Rattus norvegicus: one gene and its partner. The protein of the gene in region 1 interacts with the protein of each later gene in a pairwise test. Links are inferred from orthologs where the notes say so. Each region holds a gene or a part of one and is shown on either strand. Other genes may lie near its edges.

Region 1 (4,888 bases):
TTCCTCCTTCCCCACTCCAAGAATTTTCAGAATCAAATATTTGCCAACATCACCCTACCATTTGAGAGGATGTGGGGTGCACTGAGGATGCTCCAATGCTGAACTATGACCTCAGCCCCAATCACCATTACTATTAACCATTTAAAAGGAAATCTTAGTGCCTTCGAACACTACTCAGTGACAAACTCCCTAGCAAACACCAAGCCTAGGAAGTTCTGTAAGGAAAGTCTAACTTACAGAATGGCGGACTTTTTTCTTGTGCTAAGAACTGGACTTTACAAACGAGTGCCAGAGGTCTGCTTTAGCCTATTCTTGTGCATCTGTGCTCCCCATACCCATCCAACAGTCTGATGTGCTGTCCAGTTTGGGGGGACAGGGTATGCTTTCAACTTTTATCACATTTACTGCTCCCACAGGAAACAGATAAACCAACATTAGAATAAGTTACTTTAGGAAAGCTTTACTTTTACCCAGTAAAGACATTTTTACAGCACAGCAAAACATAAGCTTCCACGGAATTTAAAATTCTAGTGTCACTATTCCCCACTCCCCCAAAAAAACCCTATAGATAATCACCTAAATAATTTTTCTATTTATAAAGTATTATTTCTAATGTCCTGAAATAAAATGTGGAAGCTGCCAGGAAGATGGAAATCTAAACTGGGACTCTCAGGAAGACTCAAGAGCTTCATAATTTAGTATGTCCACACATTCATTACTCGGTTACAATGTAAAAAAAAAAAAAACCAGGGCTGGAGAGATGGCTCAGTGGTTAAGAGCACTGACTGCACTTCCAGAGGTCCTGAGTTCAAATCCCAGCAACCACATGGTGGCTCACAACCATCTGTAATGGGATCTGGTGCCTTCTTCTGGTGTGTCTGAAGACAACTACAGTGTACTCACACACACTAAATAAATCTTTAAAAAGAAAAGAAAAAGAAAAAACCCTATTCGTACCAAATATTAACAAGGAGACAGAAGGAAGGAGCACACACCCATATGATGTAGACTGAACTGCAAAATAGCACATTTTTCATGTTTCTTATAAAACTAAACAGAACTGGCAGAGCATGGTGGTGAATGCCTTTAATACCAACACTCAGATGAGTAAGGCAGATGAATTTGAAGCCAGTCTGGTCTACACAGTGTGAGTTCCAGGATAGCCAAACTTCCAGAGTGAAAGCCTGTCTTTTAAATAAAAACAAAAGCAACTAAACAATAACAGAGCATATGGCCTCAAAAAGGACTCCTGAGGCTCTTCACAAGAACTGCAGCTGAAAACAGATGACCCTGGGCAGGTGACGGCACATTCATGGTGTGGAAAACCACTCAGCAGTTAAGTACTGAGCTGAGGACTTGGTTCAGTGGTAGAATGAAGCCTGTGCCTAGTATGCAAATCTCTGTCGTGGGAGGGATACAGACCTCACTGGGATGAATCTCAAAAACTATGCTGAGTGGAGGAAGAAAAAAAGCCTTATCCAGAAGACCACATGAGAGACAACTAGGTCTCTGTGAACTCAATCTTGTAGGAAAAACAATCCTTACAGGGGTGACAAAAAGAGGAACGGAAGGAAGCCTGTAGTTCACTCTAACAGGCTCCACTATGGCCTGCTTGGCTGACACAGGTGTAGATGGAGCTGGGGAAACCAGCCAAGGCAACCATGTCCGTATCACTGCGCCTCTCATCATGTGGAATACCATTTTTCAAAGACGTTGTTCTCAAGCCACTAATATTTATGTGGCTTACCTTCCTTATAAGGGTAATACTGATATTTGCAGTATTTTTAATAGTAAGTGTATTTTAGAAGTAAGAGATGCCCAATACAGAAAACGCAGGAAAATGTCAATTGTGGGTGACGGACACACCTGCTGGAAAACATAAAGACGGTAAACTTTTTTTTATAGCAGCGTTAACGCACAAGGAATGATGCTTCAGTCAACCAGAGTTTCTCTCAATGTGCCACACATCCTCTTGCTTCAGAAAAGAAACCGACTTCACCTTTGGAACTAGATAAGCCTTGAGAGAACTTACAGGTACATTCCAGTGGCTGTTCCCTGCTTCCTCGCATAAAACTGTTTACAATGTTTGATACTGTCAACAATTCAAATGCTCTAGACCGTGTTGAAAACTACATTTGATAGGTTCTACCAAGGCTCTTAATTAGCTGCAAGATTTGTTTTCCTGAATAGACTTTAAGGCAATTATCGGCCTTAACATCAACCATGTTTCCTTGCGGTCCGTTGCAACCGCTAAGACCCAGTCAGGTGTCTTCTCATCTCCCTAAAAAAATCAAACAAAAACCTATCCAATGAGTGGCAGCTAAGCGATGACGGAAGTATTGTTCACAGAAGCAGCAAGTCGCCTATGAATCAAAAAGTCATTTACTTTTTTCCTTTCAGGCGTGAGCTAGTACAGTGTGACTGAAAACAAGTTCCGCGTCATAATTTTTATAATAAAAGGCTGAAAGGTGGGGGAGAGTTCAGCATTCAAAACCGAGAACTAGCCCTCCACGTGCTTCTCGCCCCCAAACCTCTCCAATTCCCAGGCAGGTAAAACAATGACCCCCACCCAGCCTGGTCAAAGGCCGAGCGACGCCCGCGCCCTGCCTCCCAGCAGCTCCCGGCTCCTTTGTGAGGACTGGGGTCCCGGGGCCCGGAGCTCGGCGGCTGCGGCGCAGCCCAGCCCAGGCCGCGCGGCTCACTCGTCCCGGCCCCGCACAGCTCACGCAGCGGAACCCGGCGGGACCTGACCGGAGCTCCCCGGGGCCGCCGCCCGGCCAGGCCGCCCCTTCGCCGCCCTCCCCGCCCCGCCGGCGACGCAGCGACCGCCTGGCCCGCGCCCTCACCTGCTGGACCGAGCTGTTCTCGGGCACAGCGAACTCTTCCTTCTCTTTAGGCGTCTTCACCGTGACCTTCATGATCTTGGGCTCTGCGGGGCCGCTGTCGGCCGCACTGTCCTGAGCGCCCGGTGGGCCGCCGCTCTCTGCGCTCTCGGCCATGGCGGTGACTCAGGCGAGCGCGACACTGGGGGCTGCGGCCGGGTCCGCGGGGCGCGACAGGTTGCGGGGCCACCGACGGTGCGTAGACGCGGGCTGCGGGTGCAGGCCCCGGTGGGCGATCGGCTGCCGTGTGGACGCGGGGACTCTCCGCGTCGCCGCCGCTTCCTCCTCCCGCACCTCCCCCACGCTCGTCGCCGGGCGCCGCGCGGGGCACGCTGGGTAACGCGCTGGCCGCGGCGCCGACTCCTGGCGGCCGGCTGCGCGAGGCACGCCGGGTAGCGCGTTGGCGAAGGAGCCGACTCATGGCCTGGCGGCGCTCGTTCCTTTCTTAGCCGGCGGACGAAGCGCGGGCTCCTCCAGGTCGAAGGAGCGCTGGGCACAGCGGGGGAACTTAACCCACTTCGCGTCTCCCGTTCTTCTTTGAAAGGCATTTAAACAGGGGTTTCATGGAAGACGCCATGATGGTGCACTAAGATGACGTCACGGGCAGCGAAATTGCTAGAAACGTCTGGCCCTTTGCTCTCGGTCCCGGTATCCTCCCGACCTGGTCCCCGTGGGCGTTGGCTTATAAAATAGCGGCGAGTTACTTTATTTTAATAAGCGTAGTGTTTGCCCGGGTGGAAGGAGTTACGATTGCCTTGTCTTGTGCTCAGGGCTTGGAAGCTAAGCCAATGGTGAAAGGTCTTCAAAGGAACACGAAACAGACGCCAGTGAGCCACCAGCGCAACCGCAGGCGCTCACTGTTTCAATGAGGCCAGAGCTTCCCTCCATGGAGTCAAACAGGTTTGGTCAGAAGACAGGACAACCCATATTGTCTGTCTTCCAAGCTGCGTGGGGGCAGAAACAGAATGCCTAGGACTGTCCACCCAACGGGTAGGAGTTAAGCCCAGCTGATGTGTGCCTTTTGTATTCTGTCCCATTACGTTACTGTGCAGCTCGCATCAGGGATAATGGTTGAAAACTTATTTTCAGCATAATGTAGGCACAAATAAGTCATTCACAAGTGACTCCCACATCCTTTATTCGCAAAGATAGCATGTAATACAGTCCGGCACTTTGTTAATCAACATTGCACAAACGTGAACTCTGACAGTGTACCGTGACCCTAATATGCAAAGACATTCCATAGTTCTGCTCTTAGGCCATCAAACCCTGTTCTATGATTAACTACTGTTGCATAAACACTTCTTAGCAGAGCCCTTTGAAATCTGGGTCAGAGTTTCGAAGGTAAATGGCGACCCAAGTGTCACTTGATATCACTTACATTTCTGTCAGCGTTGTTCGATCACAGGAAGAAGTTACAAGCTTTATGTCTAGGTGTGAGAAAATTGTTAGTTCTTGGGGTAGAAAGTTCCACCACTGAGCAAGCAAGCATTTTGGAATTTTCTCATGTTTATATATATAAAATCTCCTTCCAACTTCATTAGTTCCTCTGTTGACTGGTTTTCCTTCCTGCTGTATTCTCCCTGTGTACTTCCCTAGGCTGCCTTCTATGATGACATCCCCCCCTTCCGCCCCCCTCACACCTTTCCCTGCCTAACTTTCTGTGATCTCACATCATATCCCCCACCTCCTGGAAGTCTTCATTCTGTTGCCCTTTAGAAACCCGATCTCTTTACTCTAATACAGCGGCTGTAGATAACCTTTACTGATGTTTGTATGGAATACCCTTGTAATTGTATTTTATTTCTAAAAATCTCTGAGGTATATGGCATGTTGTGAACAAGAGTTCTCCCAGCCAAGCAAGCCACTGCCATCTTGGGTAGTTAGCTGCACTTTCTTGGAAAAGGTTCCTCCAAGCTGGCGTTACTAACTAGCACACCCCTTCATGGAGTGGTAGGGAGGGTCCCAAGACTGTCACCGGAGTATCCAGCCTTTCTCTACCACCT
Region 2 (4,638 bases), on another chromosome or scaffold:
TCTCCTGTCTCTTTTTGATAACGGATAAAGAAAAGCCCCACCAGGCAGTGATGGCTTGAAAGGCAGAAGCAGGTGGATCTCTGAGTTTGAGGCCAGCCTGGTCTTAAGAGTGAATTCCAGGACAACCAGGCCTACCCAGAGAAGTCTTCTCTCAAAACACACACACACACACACACACACACACACACACACACACACACACACACACGAAAGAGAAAAGGAAAAAGAAAGCCCCTAGCGCTTCTCTCCCTCGTCCTCCCATTTCTTCAGTTATTTAGCCAGGCGTGGTGACACACCCCTCTAATCCCAGCACTATGGAGGCCGAGGCAGAGACAAGTCAATTTCTGTGAGTCCAGCCTGGTGTACACAGTGAATTTCAGAACAGCCAGGGCCATGGAGGGAGACCCTGTCTCAAAAACATTATTTTTATTTAATATTTTAAAAAGCCAGAAATGGGGTTGGGGATTTGGCTCAGTGGTAGAGCGCTTACCTAGCAACCGCAAGGCCCTGGGTTTGGTCCCCAGCTCCGAAAAAAAAAAAAAAAGTCAGAAATAAGATTCACACATTTCTACTAGAATTAGGATGTAGAAAGACACCATCTTTAACCATATCCTTTTATTAAGCTATTTGCATGTTTGCCTGGGGCTTGTTGATAAGGGAGTTCTCATACCCACCACAGCAGAGGATGGTGGGTTTCAACAAGTGTTGCAGTGGCTAGGGTAGGTATCCCAGTGCAGGCTGATAGCATCTATGGCAGAGCCAGATCGGCCACTAATGAAACGGAGGACAGTGTTGGGGTGCAAGGGAACAGCGTTGAAACTTGTGCCTGAGTCTTTTCCAAAAGGCAGGTAGCGGCCTTTGTCTGTCACGAAGATCAGCTGCTTCACATAAGATTTGTACTTGCCAGACACCTGGATCACAGATTCCCCGGGGTGCAGAAAGATCTCCTCCAGGTCTCCCTGGTTGCCACCCACATAGTCACTCCACACTGTGCCGTAGCGCACCTGGAGACTGGAGGCAGGGGTGAGAAAAGAAGGAACACATTGGACATGGTTATCACAAGACTGGGCTGCTGAGATGGCTCCTCTGGTAGAGATGCTTTCCTGCCAAGCCTGACAACCTGAGTCCAACCCCTGCAACCCACAACTGGAGGGAGAGAACCCTACTCCCAGAAGTTGTCCTCCGGCCCCCACATGCACAATGAGGCCCTTGAGCACCCACACAAGCACACAAACATAAAACATAAATCTAAAAAATTTTCTCAGAGGTTAAGAGCACTGACTGCTCTTCCAGAGGTCCTGAGTTCAATTCCCAGCACCCACATGGTGGCTCACAACCATCTGTAATGAGATCCGATGCCCTCTTCTGGTGTGTCTGAAGGCAGCTACAGTGTATTCATGTAAATATAACAAATCTTTAAAAAAATAAAATCAAGACTTCCTAGTCTATATACTGAGATCTCAAACTGACAGATTCCATATGCTATAAAGGCTGCATGAGCCCTGCGAGAGCATGCAGAGAATCCCAAACTCTCGTTTGAATGGCAAATAGGGCTTGTGGAACGAAAGTCAGTTTCTCAGTCGCTTAGACAACAAAAGTCTGAGTTTGCCCACAATACACACTGGCACTGGAAGTCTGCCCAGGCCAGACAGGGAAGAGACAAGTCAGCAACTGTCTCATGGTTCAGAAAATGGACCAGAAAGAAATACACCTGGCTCTTTGTGTGATGGAAGTTTCCAGAGTGGGATAGGACTATTCCAGGACAGACAGCAAGCAGAGATAAAGGATGCCTGACAGAAATATTGGAAATAAGGTGAAATCCAACCCAAGTGGTGTGAGGCTCCTGGGAGTTTGCCCTTACGACTTTCCAAGGTCATGTGCACAGGTGGGAATCCCAGGTCAATGAGAACTTTCCAACTTAGCAAGGTCCTGGACAGACCCCAAAGCACAGAAACACGGAGACTCTTACCCTATTATGTAGTATCTGTTGACACGGATCCGGATGGCAGTGATGGGGCCGTCCAGCTGGTTGCCAGAGTGAGAGAATCGCTTTCCTCCTTTACCGCCATACTCTCCACTGTAAGAGGAGGACCTGGACTGAACTAGAGGGGAAAGAAAGGCCTGGAGGGACGGATGCTCTGGGGGCACAGCTTCCCCACTCCCCTCCTTCCTCCCACCAACCACTCCAGTGTCTGACAACCCTGCACAGTGGCAGTACACTGGCTGCCTTCCCATGATCTCCCTATGGCACTTCACTTACTGGAATTAGCAGACGCCGAGGCACAGAGAAGGACTAAGAGGGCAATGGCCAACATCCTGAGGCTGCAGAGGGGAGGAGAAGAAAAAGAAGGCTCATTCCTTGATGTGACTGTAACTGCTCATCTCTCCAAATCCCAAAGATAACCCTAACTTTCTGTCTCTGTTAAGCCGAGTCAAGCCTTCCTCCATCCTGGCACAAGGCACAAGAGAGCTCTCTGAAGAGGAAATAAAGGCCATCTCTAGAGTCCTGAGGCAGGTGAGTTGATGAACCAAGAATCTGAGCAAAACCTACCTGAAGCCAGCTGGTCTATGAGGTATCTGAGGCACAGTTAAGTCTCTCTAGCATCATTCTACTCTTAAGGCAAAGAAGATTTTAGGGGAACTTCTATGTCTCCTCGGGAGCAAAGGAGATGACAGAAAACACTGTATCAATGACAGGGTCTGAGCAGGACTGGTGGAGCTTAGAGAAGCTAATGGGGGGACATGTGTGAGCTCAAAACATCTGATCCCAGGTAACTTGACTGTGTGTCATAACCCTGTCTCTGCCAGCCGAATGGTCCATAGCTGTCCCCCACAAGCATCCCTTAGCCAAAACCAGACATCTTTGCACTCCAAAATAGCCCACTCCAGGCACTGTCGTTTCTATCTCATATTTGAATATCTCCCAACTCACCTTTCCCCTAGTAGTTGCAGATGCAAATCTTCTAGAAATTTCCAGAGCTTTTATACCTTGTCCAAGCCCTCCCACTGTTCTTTATCGTGTGAACCTCACCTGCTGAGCAAACATGACCAACTTTTAGGGTCAGGTATCAAGCAGGTCTGGAACATCTTATCCTGCCTTTTCCACAAGGGTTACAGGTGGCAAGGTGGGGTCCACTCTAGACAAAGTGCCAGATTTGGGAAGAGACAATTTGCTAAACCATCTGAAGGGTGGGGAAAGCAGTTAATATTTAAAGAGTGTAATTAATCCAGACAGACATGGTGGCTCATGTCTGTAATACCAACATTTGAGGGGTGTGTGGGGCAAGGCAGAGGATCATGAGTTCAAGGCCAATCTGGGCTATAGATGAGACCCTGTCTGAAAACCCAAACAAGCAAATGAGAGTGCAGTCCGAGAGGCCTGGAGATCTGTGGGTATTCTTCCCCCAGAATCAGTCCTTGCCCTAGGATAGTCCCAAGAACTGACCCCACGTAACTGTTACTCTCTCCACTCATGTGTGGTACGTCTCCCAGAACACAAAATCACTTTCTACTCTGAGCAGTGCCAAATATTGGCCTGATAATTTTTCTCTATTCGTTGATATTATATTATGAAGAATTCAGTTAAAAAGTTTAAAAAATTACATAGTAAACACCTATATCACAAGTCTGCTGTGATTAACCCTTTGCTGTGCCTGGGCTGTCTGTCTTTCACCCCTACATCTATCCATCCTCAGTCCAGACCCTTCTCAAGTCTTTTTTTCTCTGAGAAAGGGAACCTGGGGCTATAGGTGGGCAGTCCAATGGGCACGTGGGAAGCAGAGGGACAGTTTATACAAGTCCTTCTCCATGAATTGTTCGGGACTTGGACCTCAGGACCTCCAGGTTATAGACCACCAGAGTGAGCTTCCTCTCTTTAGGCCTGAAACACCCAAGAAGCAATGCTGTAGATTTCTCTTTAGATCCTTCCCTCTCAAGACTGATTTCCTCTTGATCAAAAGTCCCTAGAACTGACCCTTAAGTGCTAGTACTTAGACCCTGTTAGCCGAGCCCTGTGATCCTTGAGTCATCAGGCCTTCCTGGTAGAGAGGATGGAGCCTAGGGAGGGGCTGGAGTAAGCAGTGTCTGTCCTTAATGACCTGCAGTCAGGAAGTCAGAACATCCACCCTCTCCTTGCAGGCTCACCATCTGGGACTGAAAGCTCATCGCAGATAGCTAGGGAGTCCTGCCCTGAGAAGCCGGAAGCAGGGCAGGGCCCCTGGTGATGATAGATGCCAGGAATAGGACCAGACAGCCGCCACGGTTTCACCTCTCCTCCTCTCCTTTTCTCCAAGTTCAAGAGAATCACCAGCACCACCACCATGGCTTCATGTCCATTGTGCTGTCTCTTTCCCAGTTCTGCTTATGTCTTGATGTTTCCCCGAGTTTCCTACTCTAAGGTTCTTTGTTTATGTTCTTTCCCTTTCCCTGGTCATACCCCTTTTGAGCCCTCACTTCCTTACTCCTACATCTCTCCTCTCCCCCCTCCCCAGCCTCCTTCCTCCCAGTGTCATAGAGCTCCCTCCTTTTGTTATTAGGGGCACATCGTACATACAGTCTGGTACCCAGCCCTGGGAGGATGCGCTTGTATTTCTTACATGACGTAGCCAGAACCCTTGGGATAGAAGTGTGCCTAACTTG

The links. The genes of interacting proteins can lie anywhere in the genome.
Region 2: the proteins of Ubqln1 (region 1) and Zg16 interact in binary tests that used the Homo sapiens proteins (3 or more experiments, as listed by UniProt). The link is inferred for Rattus norvegicus from reciprocal best matches to the Homo sapiens genes UBQLN1 and ZG16.

The regions. Positions count from the first base shown.
Region 1 is NC_086035.1:6,442,717-6,447,604, reverse strand, and holds the start of Ubqln1 (ubiquilin-1), read right to left. Parts: upstream 3,166-4,888; 5' UTR 3,000-3,165; coding exon 2,847-2,999; intron 1-2,846. UniProt on the Homo sapiens protein: Plays an important role in the regulation of different protein degradation mechanisms and pathways including ubiquitin-proteasome system (UPS), autophagy and endoplasmic reticulum-associated protein degradation (ERAD) pathway.
Region 2 is NC_086019.1:191,087,650-191,092,287, forward strand, and holds Zg16 (zymogen granule membrane protein 16 precursor), read right to left. Parts: upstream 2,957-4,638; 5' UTR 2,933-2,956; intron 2,323-2,932; 5' UTR 2,316-2,322; coding exon 2,261-2,315; intron 2,103-2,260; coding exon 1,970-2,102; intron 1,012-1,969; coding exon 696-1,011; 3' UTR 599-695; downstream 1-598. UniProt on the Homo sapiens protein: May play a role in protein trafficking. May act as a linker molecule between the submembranous matrix on the luminal side of zymogen granule membrane (ZGM) and aggregated secretory proteins during granule formation in the TGN.